Linked DNA regions of Nothobranchius furzeri. The protein of the gene in region 1 interacts with the protein of each later gene in a pairwise test. Links are inferred from orthologs where the notes say so. Each region holds a gene or a part of one and is shown on either strand. Other genes may lie near its edges.

Region 1 (3,500 bases):
GAGGGGGTCTGCTTCAGGCCGACCAGGGCCAACACACCCACTGCTGACAGCAAATTCACACCTTCCATTAGAGCAAGCCTCTGATTGGTGGGTAGAATCAGCCCATTCACACCTTCCATTAGAGCAAGCCTCTGATTGGTGGGTAGAATCAGCCCACATGGGCTTAAGACAAGGATGTGTGGAATCAACCGGGCCAGGCTGGGGCCGACTGGGGCTACCCGGCCCGGGCCGACCCGGTACAGATGGGAATGGCCCATTACTTCCATTTTTTAAATCATTCTTTGTTTACGGCATTTTTCACACCTGCCTAAAACTTTTGCACTGCTGTAAAACAACCGAGCTCTCGGAACAACCTCAATTTAGAGAAACACAGATGAGTAACAATCAGAGCAACACGCCAACAGCTAGTCACATCGAGGCCAGCTCCAAAGTGTTCAAATCAACCCTAACATAAGCAGGAAACGCCAACTCACTGTAACCTTTACATTACCATAAATATCTAACTTTATAGGTCGGGTTTTTTCTGGCAGAATTATGATCAAATTCCAGCCAGAAACACAAAACTAATATATATAATAGCCCTCCATCCTCCAAACAGCCTAATGGGCTCGACACACGGGAGGCGACAAACGACCGCGAATCGCGATCAGCGAAATTTGTCGCTGTCGCTTTTATTAGCTGACACACGGGAGGCGATACGCGGCAGCGGCCAGCGGCAAAGCCGTCTACGCGTTCTGTTCCATGGCGAAATGGAAACTTCTGTTGTTTTGATTGGCTGTGTCAGGTTGGAGGGAATTAAGGTTATTTAAGTGGTTCAGAGTTAATAAAGCGGTAGATATGATGTTTCACAAGGTGCTGCTAGAGTTATGTGAAATCTTACTTCTGATTTTACTATAAAACATAATAATAATCAACTTCTCCTCCATGTTTGCTCGAAGATGTACGGAGCATCCTGTCCGCTCATTGGTCAGTGAATGAAACCTCCGTTGATTGGTCCTCGTCCCAGCAACAGCGATGAAAAGTTGAAAATGTTTGAACTTTCTGGGATCCAGTCGCTGGGTCGCCTGTGCACGGCACGTGCACGAGCGCAAAATTTCACACGCATGTTTTTTGCGTTTCGCTTGGTAGGAGGGAGACCCGCGATTATCGCTTTGTCACACATGTCTCATTGAAAATGAATGGAGGAGAGGCGATGTCGCCTCCCGTGTGTCGAGCCCATAAGACTGCCAACAAGGAAGAAAATCCAAGAGTTAACACAAATCTGTATCTGTGGGAAAACAGAGCTCAGAACTAAACTTGAGAAAGCGCAGGAAGTCATGGCAGGAAGTCAACAAATAATCTGACAGAGCAAAGAAATACAAGGCGGAAATGTAAACGGAGGTGTGACTGGACAAATAGCTGCAGATCAGTAAACCAGGAAAAGAACAGATCAACGTGGAGTCAGCCGATAGCATCTCACTTATTTTACTATAAAACAAACTAAAAATACAAAACTGGAGCTGAGGCCATCGCTAATCCCAAACAAGCTAAGCAAATACTGGCCTACTACTCAAACCAGGGGTAATGAAAACAGACATGACAGAAAAAGATGTTGCCCTTGTAACCTCTAGAATGCATTAAACATTGTGTTTTAGCATCTGTGACACCTGAAATCTTGCCACACACACACACACACACACACACATGGATTTCTCAGGCAGATTTATCTCACCAGATGGAAAAACTCAAGATTTTTAATCATTTGGATCAATAATTGTTTGACTATCAACTTTCAGACACACTTTTAGTCGTTCTAGCCTCTTTCGGTGTTTGTTTCCCGCAAATCGAAGGTACTCGGATCATGGGAAAACTCCTACCTTACTCTTCCTGGTGAAAAGCCAAAAGTTTTTGCTCTTATTCTTCCCCAGAAGGTCCATGGGGCCTTTAGGCGTACCCAGACTGCTGTCTGAAGAGGCTCGATTGATGCCTTGGCTGTAGTCCTCAAACTCCTGGTCTCCAGGTCGCTCAAAACCCGACTTATTCTGCTCTATCACAAACATTGTGTCCTATATAAAAACAGCAAGAAATGAAAACAAAGTTTTGTTTAGACAAGTGTACAGATCAAACCCATAAGCTGCATGACCTCGTGACACACAGTCAAATGTTCGATCTCTGAAAACCAACTCACATTCTTCTCATTTACGTTAGTGCCGGCTTTAGTAATGCCTTCCAGGCACTTGCCAATGATGGGCATCACATGTTTCTCTGTGTCTGAGAACAAGATGTAGCCTTGTGCTAACTTCCGTATTCGCCTCTCATCCAGATCCTGCAATTTCTAAAGGATACAGAAGAGTTACAGAGACCTAAAACTCCCCACATCTGAACACAAATCAGAAACGCTAACTCAGCCCAGATCAAAGTCCTGCTTTAACATTCCAGTCATCATTTACTAAACCATCACTGAGCTGCATCAACTACGATGACTCACTAGTGAGCGAGCTTCTACACTCAGAACTTTCTACTGAGGTCTTAAAGGTCAACGATGTTTTATGAAAACAGAAAACCTGGCATTCCCCCAGCCAGCTGACGGGGAGATCTTGCCATTGTAACCTTCTCTGCAACGTGATACACACATTGGACTGTTCTGTGACTACTTTACTGAACGATTCTTACATAGTTGACCTTTAAGGGCTGCAACGATTCGTCGATGTTATCGACAAATATCGACAATAGAAACGCCAGACGTGTTTTTTTCCGACCGAGTGAGGCATCTCACTTCATAACCCCCAAATTCCACTACCTCCGCTCCGCCCCCGCCTTCCGCAGCCGCTCGCTTCCGAACTCAATTTTTACTGGTACCCGCTCTACAACGGCTCCGCTCCGGTGCGGAGACCTGAGGTGCGCAAACAAGCATGCGCGGGATTTTCGAGATCTTGCGATACAGTCCGAGCAATAAACGCGGAAGTTAGATCCAAACACCCGTTGTGTGGGAGAAGCATCGACATGAACTGTTTAATCTGCCCATCATTTGTGTTGAGAGATCAGCAGTGTTTGGATCAACAAAGTGTGACTACTTTGACAGTAGAAACTGTATTTATGGCTTACTTTTGTGCATTTAAACTTCAGGCGCCATTGATAGTTGTTAAAAGTTGTGAAACCTGTGCATATGAAACAAAAAACTCCTTTTGTTTATCGATTTATTGTGAAATAACGGAAGTTGTGCTTGCTCCTTTTCCTGTTGGGCGGTTGTGATTCCTGTCCATTTACTGCGGAGGTGCTCCGGCGTCCGGCGAAAATAGGATCGATTCTATTTTTGCCGGACGCCGGAACAGAGGGAGGCGCACTGCGCCGCACTGCCGCGGCACGGCCGCAGTAGTGGAATAGCTCTGATTGACTACAACGGGACCGATTTTGCTGCGGAGTTTGTGGCGGAGCGGAGGTAGTGGAATTTGGGGGTTACAATCTCTGCCAAAAGTCGCACATGCACAATAGCTTCTCTGCTGGGCGCCAACTAACAGAAA
Region 2 (4,041 bases), on another chromosome or scaffold:
TTCCTGTTGACTCAACATGTGGGATCCGTGCTCTCTGTTGGCAGGCTATGTGTTTTGCTGCATTAGGGTTCATCTTCATGATCTTGAGCCTGTCGTTTATCATCATCGGCTGGGTCACGGGAAAGTCTCGGAGCGGCGGTGGACACTAGCTAGCAGCTACAAGCCAAGACTGACCAGAGGAACTCCAAACAGCACGTCAACCAAAACTCACCCTGCAAACAAACCCCACCGGTCAGCCGAGTTCTCATCCGGGGTTTGGTGATTTACGACGAAGGACAACAGTGAAGAGCCTCGCCCAAAGGAAGAGCTTTCCTGATGGGTGCTGTGCGTTGACTGAATGCACCGCTCAGAGCAAGGATGCTGGTGGGGCCGTGAAGCAGGAGGACAAACGAGAACCAAAGCAGAAGTCCGGTTTCAGGAGCCGGGTGGAAAAACGGAGCCACTATCATTTACTTCCATAATACGTCATATAAGTTTTTGTTCATTAACTTTTACTAAACAAACATTCATTATAGGTTGTTCATTCTGTTAGTTTTTTATGTACAAGATTCTGGTAAGATGTTGCTCGGGTAACAACGAGGAGCTGATGGTCGGCATCGCCACGGAGGAACTTTATTTCACCTAAAGACAACTTTCTGTGTGATGAAACTCATTTAATGTGTTTTTATGTCTCCTGACGACTGACAGGCGGCTCTGTACAAGGTCATGATTTAGGTACCGATGCAACCCGGTGCAATATGTAGGAGATTATGCTGCTGTTGTCGACGGTCAGTCAGAGGGTTACTGATAGTTGTGTGACTCTGAAAGGTGGTTCACACAAGTGAAAAACTGTTTTCTGTTCGTCTCCAACCCACAAACCAAAGAGTATTTAACTGTTACGTTAAGAGAGAGAATGCATTGTTTTCCTGTCACATTCAGCTGTTCGATCAGTTAAATTCAACACCCAGACTGTTTCATCATTTCCTGCATTTACAATTCAGTTGCTTTTAATTGTTTTTATTGTACGACTGGACCAAACACCTTTGTTCCAGAGCCTGCGCGTTTTAAAAATGTATTTAAATGTTGTTTGTCAATAAAAAAAAGTCTCTTCTTTGTACTTCCTGTACATCTGATGCTGATTATTTATGCATGTAAACTCTGAGCTGGAGGGAAGCAGCAGTGCCCTGCCTCTGTCTGAACATGGAAGTGACACGTTCACGTCAGAGTGAGAGAAGACAAGTGGGGGTTAGAGAAGTGTGGCTGTCTGCTTCCTGCTTCGAGCTGATGCTCGCTCAGAACAGAGAAGAGAAACTTCCTGGATCGTAGAGAATATTCCGACCGCTGTCCTCTTCGTTTTAGACTTTTGATGCCGTTACATGTTGGTTTGTGAGAGGCGTCATGAGTCGTGGAGCTAAGAGTAAAACAGAGAGCGATCGAAGCTCTTTGCTGAGCCAACAGGAGAATGACATGTTGGAGGAGCTGCTGGGCAGAAGGTGTGCTGTAAGTTCTGAACCGGGAGGAAATAACCCACCGTTCAATTTATTATTCATCACTTCTGCTGCTAAACAAAACTAACGCATTCCGATTGCCTGCCTATATGTTAGATTTCCTCCTCTTTGAGCCGCTAAAACGTCACATGCTGAAGAGGCAGGCGTTAGCTGAGGCCTGTCTCCTAAAACATCATCCTTTTGAGTTGGGAACTGAAAGATCCTTTCTGTAAGCAGCTGTGAGTGATGTTAAGTTATTTGCTGTTGGGTCACCATGACGGAGGCAGCTGTAACAGGAAATGCTGGCTGGCTGGATTCTTCCTCTCCTGTCAGATGTAGACGCCATGGCTGGTTTGGTCTGACAGCAGAGCAGAAGTTTAGTTTTTGACTTCATTCGTCCGTAGGAGTAAGCTGGCAGAGCCGTGAGACATCAGACGTGTGTCAGGTGTAATCCGGAGAAGACAGAGAGCCTTTTGAGCTCTTATCACAAAAATGAGAGCAGAGGAGGAAGTTATCCACCAGCAACGAGCAAATTTACATGTCAACTGGGTGTGTGTGTGTGTGTGTGCGTGCGTGTGCGTGTGTGTGTGTGCGTGTGTGTGTTTAGTCCACAGCCACCGCTGTAGCACAGCTGTTCATGGCTCTGCCACACAGCCCGTCCACATGGAGCCTGCAGCACACCGGAGTGGTCTGCTTCGTCAAAGACAACCCTCAGCGCTCCTACTTCATCCGGATGTTCGATTTGAAGGTCAAATAAAGAATCTATGAGCTCATCCTCTCTAGGTTTTGTGACTGACGTCTCCGTTGGAGAAGCTGTGACTCAGATGTGACGGGAGTTAGTGAGGGGCAGACGCGCTGACCAGGCACTTTTTTCCACAGGCAGGGAAACGGGTTTGGGAGCAGGAGCTGTACGACCAGATGGCTTACTTCACGCCTCTGCAATACTTTCACACCTTTCCTGCAGATGTAAGCGCGCACTAATCACACAAGGCAATAACTGTGTCAGTATGAAATTGTGAGTGTGTGTTTGGGTGAGTTAACAGGACTGCCAGGTGGGCCTGAACTTCACGGACCAACAGGAGGCAGACGCCTTCCAGCATGCTGTCGTGGAGAAAATCAACCAGCGGAACAGCCGGATGGGTCAGCACGCTCCTGCTCCTCTCACTACAGAGCTTTAACCCTCCGGAGGCAGGCGTTGCAGATTAGCAACGTTAAAACCTACCGACCTGGTTTCTCCACATACGTGTTTCATGAGCATGTTTTAACTCAGGAGCACCCCTGAAGGACTTAGTTGTTCGTCCTTTTATCATAACTTACTTTGAGCCTGAGAGGGTTAAGCAGACGTTTAGAAGGACACGCTTCCATGTTTATATTTAGAACAGGTTTGGGTTATGGGCTCGGCTGTAGCACCCTACATCAATAGTAGTCAACGGGGGCGGATCTTCAGGGGGGAACATTGTTGTAAAGCCTTGCCTTCCTCTGCTGCCTCCCTACTTCTATGTCCTAAACGGTGTATTCACATCTGGGTCGGCCCGGTCCATCCCTGGCAGGGTAATTGTGTTCACATCGGGGTAATCTGTGTGTTTTCTGTGCTCAGCCGACCATTTTTTCCAGATCTCATCTCCAGCGGACAGCTTGGCACTGACAACACATCCACTTCGGACCGACTGGGTGGCCAAAGTTCATGTCTGCCTACAGAGAAAGCCTTTGATTGGCAAGCAGAATCAGCCAGTGCTGGCTTCCTGCATACATGATTCATAATCATTCTGGATGCAGTGGAGTAAACATCTCCTCCGACTGCAGCTCACACCTGCCGTGGGAGCACAAAGCCAGACAGCTGTGAGGAGCGCGTGGCGGTCTCAGTGAGACAGTAGGAAGCTGTGTGCTTCATGTCAGAGTCTCTCAAAGCAACGCAACTCTCAGCCACCTTTGTTTACTAATTGAAAAAAGGACACCGTGGACTTCTCCATGCATCTTTTGCCCCGCCTACATGCTCGGAGACGTCTACGTTCCTGAGAAGGCTGTGCAAACAAAACCTGGCCATGGTGGGATGGGCCAACCCAGCCAGGACCCAACCGGGCTGGGCCAGATGTGAAAATGCCACGAGTGATGGCAGAATCAGTCCAGCAGGGGCGGATTAAGAACTGAAGAACATCCGGGGCTTAACACACGCACACACGCGCGCGAACACACGCGCGCGCGCGCACACACACACACACACACACACACACACACACACACACACACACACACACACACACACACACACACGCACACACACACACACAAGTGACACGCACTAGTCAACATCATATATATTTGTCTTGTACCACATCATTTTTAATCTGAAGCTACATATTAAGCATTTTCAGGGCAGAGTATTGTTCCTGTTAGTGTTTAGTGTGAGATGATAGTAAATATTACCTTTCTTTCTCCAACAACTTTACCTGATAAGCTAACTTTAGGCAAACCAGCAGCACAACAAATATTTTCTAATAAGACTCACAAACCTGAGTCAGCACCAGTCTCATCAAAGCTGGGGTTCTGTCGCCGTACTTTTGGTCTAAAACGTCCT
Region 3 (4,010 bases), on another chromosome or scaffold:
TGCTTGGAAAGATTTATTATACTTTCCATGTGTTTTATGACAAACAAGCAGTGTTTGGTGTTTTTGCTCATATAGATATGACCAAACTGATTTGTGGATCCTAAAGGACTACATATATTTACATCTAATGATGAATATGGCTGCTGAGGTGGGCACAAGTCAGTGAGAACATTGATGTCAAACACATAATTTACAACTGAGTTTATAAGCTGTTGTAACGATCTACAGGTGTTTAAAGCGTTTTGTGAACTTACATTTTGTATTTTGCGATCAGCGCTGAGTCGATCTGCTAGAAAGTGAAAGTGTAAGATTTTCCTTAAAAACTTGCAGCTTGCTGCTAAAACGATGGTGATCTTTTTTTTATGAAAACAAAATTTGCATCCTCACCATTAAATAGGTGTTACTGAAATCATACAATCAATTAAATTTAAATGTTTGTGTTGGTGGTGGTCAGAGGATCCGACGGCAGCCTTGTCTCTGTCAGACCGCCCAAGGGCGGCTGTGGCTACATAGTAGCTTACCATCACTGGCAGTGTGTGAGTGTGAAAGTGCATGAAAGCGCTATTTAAGTTTGATGTATTATTAGTATTACGGTCATGTTTGTACTGTTTTGTAAAAAGTTATTGGACTGCCAATGTTAGTGCCAAATCCAGCAGAACTCTATTATAGAGCATCACCATCAGGTGGCGCTATAGTAAAGCATTTATTTTTTATCCCTGTTAAGGTTTGCCGTGATGTTCTCACGCCTTACATCAGCCAAACGGTACCTGTAAATTAATATTGTTTCAAAGTGTTTGAGTAGAACTTGCCAGGTTTAAACCGTTGTCAACTCCATAATGTCAGATTTATTTCTGCTTTGAATTATTTAAACATTGTTTACAAATGATGAAAACATTTTCAGAGGATTTTTATTTAGAAGAGGTATATTTTTGAGAGCTGACATGGTTATGTCAAGTTTGCCTTTAATGAGATTGTTTTTTGCAATGACCAGGTCATGTGCCATTTGATATTAAAATATGATAAATAAAATATTTCTCTAATGTGGAATATAATATACGTTTTTTCTTATGTAATTGATATGCCGTTTTGTAAATGTTAACATTGGTGAATTATTTACCCCCCATCCCCATCCCCCCCGAAATAATCGTGCAAGCCTCAAGTCCTTTTCTTTGTGGAGCTTTTGCACATTTGTGGTCCGCTCTGGGGCCAGACAGATCCAGCTTTCTCACTGCTGGTACCGGGTCAGGGATGGCGCTGGTACCGGGTCAGGGATGGCGCTGACAGCTTGCCGAGGCGAGCCCCCCCACCCGCCGTGTGCAACACATATTCTGCGGTAAAGATGGCGGCGTCAGAGGGGGCGCGCTGCGGCCGAACAACGGCCAAACGCTTTTAATTAGGTCCGCTTGAACTAAGTCGAGCTTGTCGGGTGGCTTTAATTACTGCAGGGCTACTGCCTGGACATTCGGGACGGAGATAATCGCTGCCTCGCACCGTTGCTGGGATTTTATTGTTAGAGGAAGGCTAGGTGGGTTTCAGTGGTAGCTGCTAGCGTTAGCCAGGCGAGCTAACACTGAGCCGTTCTCCTTTCGGAGAGCAGCAGGGAGGGGATTCGTGAAAAGAATTCGGGTTAGGCCGCACCAGCTTAGGGGAATGTGAACCAGAGGTACCCAGGGGAGGTTTGCTTGCTTCGTCCCACACGTCCTCTGACAAAACTACTGGAATGGGACAGCAGGTAGGCCGCGTCGGTGAGGTTACATCAAGCGGACTCGAGCCACCACAGCCTCACGCGTCCCAACCACACCAGGGGAAGGGGAACCGGGGCAGCGTCGCCGGGAGGAAACCCCGAGAACCCGGCAGCAGCACCGGGACACCACCGGGCAGGGCTGCTGCAGTAAACGTACCAGACCCAGGAATAAATATATTCACGCAGCATTCAGGTAAAGTGCAAGATTCATGTTTATGCGTGGGTGGATGTGTAAGATGTGTTTTCTCTTTGATGTTTGATTCTGCTAGCAAGTCCCTGCTATTTGACAACGACCCGTTAGCGGAAATGGTTTTGACATCCCACATTAGCTCTCGGTGGCACATCCAGTTTATTCTGCTGTTATTCCTCTGTTGACACGATTCAGTGTGGTCACCGAACTGCCTTGATGGTTTAAACGAGAGGGAAAACCCTCAGTACTTTTTGTGACTGCTTGAGGAAGCCCTTAGGGCAGTTCTTGCAAACTGGGACCGGAACTCCACAGCGATGCATGAAGCACCAAGTTCAAGGATCTTGAGATGATCCATGGAAATGACATTTAAATGATTGCTGCCGGGCTTTCTTCACTCTTACTTAAAGAAACTAGACGGCTGAGCTGTGACAGCGAATATAATAGGTTCGAGACAGTTTGTGTCTTTTTTACATGGCATATTAGAAATAGTTGTACCTTTCAGCCAGGCAGCATTAGTCACGTTGTTATGAGGGTTGAAGCCTGAGCAGTTTGGGATCCACTGGTATTTAGTTTAGAAACCGTGTTCTTGCCTGGGGTCATTTCATTAGCTTTTCCACTCTATTAACTCACTACATCAGTGGCTCACATTACAGTATACTGTATATATATACAGCAATTTTCACTTGAATCTTCTAATATTGTCTACAGTTGCATAACATTTAGTAAAGATTAATCCAAAAGAATTATCTACTTTGTTTTGGTGACTTTTTTCTATTTCAATAATATGCTCTAAATCTGAGACCATGGTCTTGAGTCGGAAAATGGTAGAGCTTTATCCAGTTCAAGGATGAGGTCCTGCCTCAAGTGGAGAAGTTTAGGTTTCTTGGGTTCTTGTTTACAAGCGAGGGTAAGATGGAGCGATAGGCGGATTGGTGCTGCATCTGCAGTGATGTGGGCGTTGTGGTGAAGAGAGCTGAGCCAGTAGGCAAAGCTCTCCATTTACCAATCAATCTACATTCCAACCCTCATCTATGGTCACGAGCTTTGGGTAGTAAGCGAAAGAGTGAGATTGCGGATACAAGCGGCCAAAATTGAGTTTTCTCTGCAGGGTGTCAGGGCTCTCCTTAAAGATAGGGTTAGAAGATCGGTCGTGCGGGAGGGGGTCAGAGTAGACCTCCACTGCTGCTCCTCCACATCAAGAGGAGCCAGTTGTGGTGGCTATGGCGTCTGGTTAGGGTGCCTCCTGGACGCCTCCCTGGTGAGGTTTTCTGGGCACATCCAGCTGGGAGGAGACCTAAAGGAAGCCCCAGGACATGCAGATGAGACTATTTCTCAGCTGGCCAGGGAATGCCTTAGGATTCCTCCTGAGGAGCTGCCTTCAGTGGCTGGGGAGAGGAGAGGGAACCTGGGCCTAACTTGGTTTATGTTTGAGGCTGCTGCCCCCGCGACCGACTCTGAATAAGTGGCTGAACATGGATGGATGGAATATGATCTTTTTAAAATTAATGTTCAAAGCTCCTCTGATTTAATAAAATAGATGTCTATTCTTAGAATATTAAAACCTGAAATGACAACAACAAGGCTGAGGTGGCTTCAGTTACTTGTCTCAACATCACAAGTTTTAAAACAAATCTTTCTGCGTCAGAGCCAGTGGCAATGCTATCATAAGGGCTTGCCGTTATTTTTCCATGTTGTGCAATAACTGATCAGTCTTTCTTCCCATTTGTTGCATACCTTTGCATGTAACATAGTTATGGTGTACTTGATGGCATGTTGGATGGCTTTTACTCACGTTTGATGATGTTTGTATTGCGTTAAGATGTTTAACTACTGGCGTGACCTGTCTAGTTTCCACTCTTATTTGTCTTCGTCCATTGCTGTGAGTTAGGACACAGAAAAGGTGCAACCTTTTGGCAATGGAAAGTATTTTCAGTTCCTGGCTCTTGCACTGTGGAAGTAAGTCGTTACAGACTGACAGACAAGCTTGTTAAGTGCAGCACCACTCGCTTTTGTTGCTGTTCTGCTCAGTTCTTTCCTGTGTTGGGACAGGGATAACCTTTTAATAGCTTCCAAGAT
Region 4 (3,953 bases), on another chromosome or scaffold:
CCTAGTTAATCTATAATTAAACGGGTAAACTAGTAGTAGCACATTCAATGTCAAAGAAAGTAAAATGTTATTGTCAGGAGGGAGAATGTTTAAATGGTTTGCAGCAGTGTTCAAGCCTATGGTCCCCACCATGAGGCTACCACAGCTCAGCAGAACATCATTGTAGCTTCTTCTGGAGAGAAAAACACTTAGAGAAAAAATAACGGTAACAGCTGAAATAACAGGAAATAATACAGTTAAAGACAGAAAGAAATTGTAGAAGAAAGTAGTCGAATGTGGAAAGTGGTCAGTATGTCCTCCAGCAGTCTAAGCCTATAGCAGCATAACTACAGAGATAACTCTGAATAACTTTTCAGATGGAGGCATGTTGGAGGCAGGGCAAGAGAGAGCCGTCTTTACCGACTGTACACTCCACCTCCCTCTACTCCCCCACTTGTCCAGATCTGGGCTAACATCAGATTTTAACCATAGGCCCTATCAAATAAGAATGTTTTAAGCCCAGTCTTAAAAGTAGACTAGGTGTCTGCCTCACGGACTAAAGCTGGGAGCTGGTTCCACAAGAGAGGACCCTGATTGCTAAAAGATTCAACCAATGGGTGTGAAAGTAAATGAGGTTTAAGCGATATAACCAATAAGATTAGTGGTTTCATAAACTTAAGATGTTTGATTTTAAACATGTTTTCTGTGGCCAAATCTACTTATTTTGGTTTGACAAAATTCAGAAATGTTTTTATTGGATAAGTGATTAATTTTGGCATTGATATTTTTATACGTTTTTTAAAGCAGATGCAGAAAACGCATTGTTTTTTTAAGAGTTATCAAAATGGGACATTATTTTTGATGTTGTGCATTACTGCCGCTAGACGGCGCTAACTCTCCTCTTGCCACCCGGACACCTGAGGGCTCGAGCCGCAGTTCACTCCTTTAAGAAGAGTTCTCACTCCGAAGAATATCCTGCTAAAACTATTTACATTAGCTCATGGGACCAGAATCACTGTCATGAAAATTACTTTAGATATTGTGTTTGTCCGCATATCTGTAGTAAGTAGCACCACATTTGTCGTACTCCCAGAAAAATAAAGTAAGTCGTTAGTTTCTGTAGAAAAATCTCCGTAGTGATACGTCACGTGACTAGATTATCTTTGTGTAAAGGTGGTTGTCGAAGTTGCAGGCGAGTTCACGAGAAGAAGAGCTGTGGCGGATTATAGGTTACGAACCAGGGACGGACACGGGGAGACGGAACCGTGAGTGTTGGACAAACTTAAGAAGAGTAAAGCTAGTTCGACTCGGTGGGGAAGTTTACTGGAATTTAAGTTCAGCGGGTTCCCGGATTCCCGAAGAGAAGAGACGTTCAGGTGCGTATCCTTATTTGGGACGACCAGGAATTTAGCCCTCAAGCTATTTAGCTAGCTAGTGTTAGCGACAAATTACAACAAAGATGAAAAACTAGTTGATAATGTTCTCAAATATGAACTTAACTAAAAAGTAAATCCACGAGAAACGTGCTGAAAGTACACAAACTATTCCCTAACATTACAGACGATAAAACATCAGAAAACAGCAGAAACGGTGTTTGTTTTGGTTAAACTTCGTTTATCACAACACAAAATCAAGAGTTACACCATAAGCATGAGTTCTAATCATTCTTAAATCAAGTTTCCTATTAAAATAAGGCGTACAGTTACTAAAATAACTCGTCACGGTCAGGAAATCCTGCTGATTTCATTCTTTTAGTCCAAATGTAGTCACACAAGAGCCAGTCCTTAAAAACAGCATTGTGTTTACGCTCAATAGAGATAAAAATAAAAACAGTTAACATGCTTTTTAAAAATGTATTTTAGGGCATGACTCAGCTCACAGCGACACATTCCTGCTGTCGAATCTGTAGTCCCGTTTTATTTATGTAAATGTAAAACAATAGTGAAGATTTAAAGTAACCAGTCATTTCAAATACTTAAGCAGCCAATTCTTTTTGTGTTTGTTATTCATTTAATTAATATGATCCATCAGGAAACTTTAATTTATAAAACATGGGTTGGTGGTGGACTTTTTCCATCTTTGTGGTTAATTTCTTTCCCAGATCTGTTGGTTGATGTGCCTCTTGAGTGGGAGGAGAAATGGACTACCTGCTCTCCCAGCATGCCTGTCTGAATCTGTGCACACTGGAAGTTGAGATTTAAAAGTGGGCTACACTGATTGTAGTTCTCTGGAGTGGGACAGATTGTGGTTATAACAGGGCTAATGGACCTCAGAGAGTTGAGATGTGCCTAACTGGGGCAGCCTGTGCTGAATCCAAGCTGTGTGAAGGTCAACACGCCACTTCCTCTGTTCCTTTTTGGTGTCAGCCTCAGTTCTCTGCTGCAAAAGAAGAAACCACGACTTGCAGGTGGTGCTGACTTGGTAATCTATCTGGTGCGGCAATTGTAAGAACATGCATTTTATTTCTGATCAAAGTTATCACCAACGTGTCAGTGCAGCTGCAACAGCTTAGAAGCTGGGACTAACTGCAGCAACTATGAAACTAGAGTTATGTTCAAGAGCGTAATGCACACTTGGTATGTTAATGAAATCATGTGCTCAGTGTCACTTGTGCTGGCTTTTCTACAAGAAACAGGTTATGGAAAACACTGTAGTGAAGCTGCAAGAAACCCAAGTTCCTTAAAAAATAGGATTTAAATGTGTTTTTCCAGCAAAGTGATTATTTACATCTAAAACCTGTCAGACAGTCTACGTGTGAGGCAGAGGTTAGGTTGTGATTGCTGTATCCAAATGTTTAACTATATTTTCAACACGGATATTGAACCCAAGTCACCTTGAACTTCAGATAATGTGAGGAAAAGGTTTCCAGTGTGGTTGTCACAACAGATCATGCATTAACTCACCTGGAACGTTTTAAAATATGACGATGAATGAGAGACTTTTCTACATGGGGGCGTGAATCACTCTAACCGTTAGCTACTTGTTTCTCTCCTGCTGTACATTTCTTGAGCTTGTTGAGTTTGTCTCCTTGTTGGTAGCCTTGTGTTGGTTTTCTGCCAAACGAGAGATTATTTTTTGCAAATGTACTTCTGGTGTATTTTGCACAAATATCAGAGGACTGAGCAAGCAAACATGACTAAGGACATTGTCCTCCCCATCTCTCCTCTGATTAATAAGATTAATTATTAATCGTTACAAATAACCTCTTTAGACACACGGGTTATAAAGAACTTTTAAAACGTCGATGCATTAGTTTGTTTCCATCTAGTGAGTAAAGACGACACCAGTGACAGCTTTCACTGGTCCAGTAGGAGAAAGAGAAGAGGGAATTGTCTCTTTCCTGGTCACAAATATTGGCCCAGTTTTGTTGTCTGGAAACAGAATGGGTTGTAAACACTCATCTAAATAAAGTTCTGCTGCATTTTCTGGTGTTGCGAGTTTAGAAACGGTGATTTTAAAGCAGAGTAAATAAACGCTGCTTTTCTTTTCCTTTCATTCTGCTTCACCTGAATCTGTTCCAGTTTTATAATCGCTGGTTGTTTGGTAACATCTGTGACATCATTTCCTTCTGAGTTACAGCCAATCAGCATACACCACTCCAGGTACTCAGTTGGTCCCTGAAGTGGCTCACCAAATGGTGTTTTTGGGCTGGCCCGGTGAAATGGAAATGTGTGTATGCCACGATGGTCCGGTAACGGTACCTGGACGTTTCAATAGTGGAAACAGGCCTCATCTTGCAGATTTAGTCGAAAAAGGACCTAAAATCATCCTAAACAAGTGGATTAAAAACAGTTTGTACATTAAAGGTGGCATTTTCATCATGACAAGGGAACAGTATACAGTGGGGCAAAAAAGTATTTAGTCAGCCACCGATTGTGCAAGTTCTCCCACTTAAAATGATGACAGAGGTCAGTAATTTTCATCATAGGTACACTTCAACTGTGAGAGACAGAATGTGAAACATAATCCATGAA

The links. The genes of interacting proteins can lie anywhere in the genome.
Region 2: the proteins of trip10a (region 1) and wasb interact in a two-hybrid assay, tested with the Homo sapiens proteins (2 studies listed by BioGRID). The link is inferred for Nothobranchius furzeri from reciprocal best matches to the Homo sapiens genes TRIP10 and WAS.
Region 3: the proteins of trip10a (region 1) and abl2 interact in binary tests that used the Homo sapiens proteins (3 or more experiments, as listed by UniProt). The link is inferred for Nothobranchius furzeri from reciprocal best matches to the Homo sapiens genes TRIP10 and ABL2.
Region 4: the proteins of trip10a (region 1) and arhgap12b interact in binary tests that used the Homo sapiens proteins (3 or more experiments, as listed by UniProt). The two-hybrid records come from large-scale screens. The link is inferred for Nothobranchius furzeri from reciprocal best matches to the Homo sapiens genes TRIP10 and ARHGAP12.

Annotation. Positions count from the first base shown.
Region 1 is NC_091745.1:3,251,048-3,254,547, forward strand, and holds part of trip10a (cdc42-interacting protein 4 homolog), read right to left. Parts: intron 2,315-3,500; coding exon 2,168-2,314; intron 2,046-2,167; coding exon 1,857-2,045; intron 1-1,856. UniProt on the Homo sapiens protein: Required for translocation of GLUT4 to the plasma membrane in response to insulin signaling. Required to coordinate membrane tubulation with reorganization of the actin cytoskeleton during endocytosis.
Region 2 is NC_091755.1:42,288,305-42,292,345, reverse strand, and holds the start of wasb (WASP actin nucleation promoting factor b), read left to right. Parts: upstream 1-1,241; 5' UTR 1,242-1,377; coding exon 1,378-1,479; intron 1,480-2,073; coding exon 2,074-2,214; intron 2,215-2,345; coding exon 2,346-2,432; intron 2,433-2,509; coding exon 2,510-2,606; intron 2,607-4,041. Other genes in the region: sodium-coupled neutral amino acid transporter 3, read left to right, coding at 45-149. UniProt on the Homo sapiens protein: Effector protein for Rho-type GTPases that regulates actin filament reorganization via its interaction with the Arp2/3 complex. Important for efficient actin polymerization. Possible regulator of lymphocyte and platelet function.
Region 3 is NC_091748.1:56,978,552-56,982,561, reverse strand, and holds the start of abl2 (tyrosine-protein kinase ABL2), read left to right. Parts: upstream 1-1,210; 5' UTR 1,211-1,720; coding exon 1,721-1,937; intron 1,938-4,010. UniProt on the Homo sapiens protein: Non-receptor tyrosine-protein kinase that plays an ABL1-overlapping role in key processes linked to cell growth and survival such as cytoskeleton remodeling in response to extracellular stimuli, cell motility and adhesion and receptor endocytosis.
Region 4 is NC_091751.1:39,509,299-39,513,251, reverse strand, and holds the start of arhgap12b (rho GTPase-activating protein 12b), read left to right. Parts: upstream 1-1,153; 5' UTR 1,154-1,355; intron 1,356-3,953. UniProt on the Homo sapiens protein: GTPase activator for the Rho-type GTPases by converting them to an inactive GDP-bound state.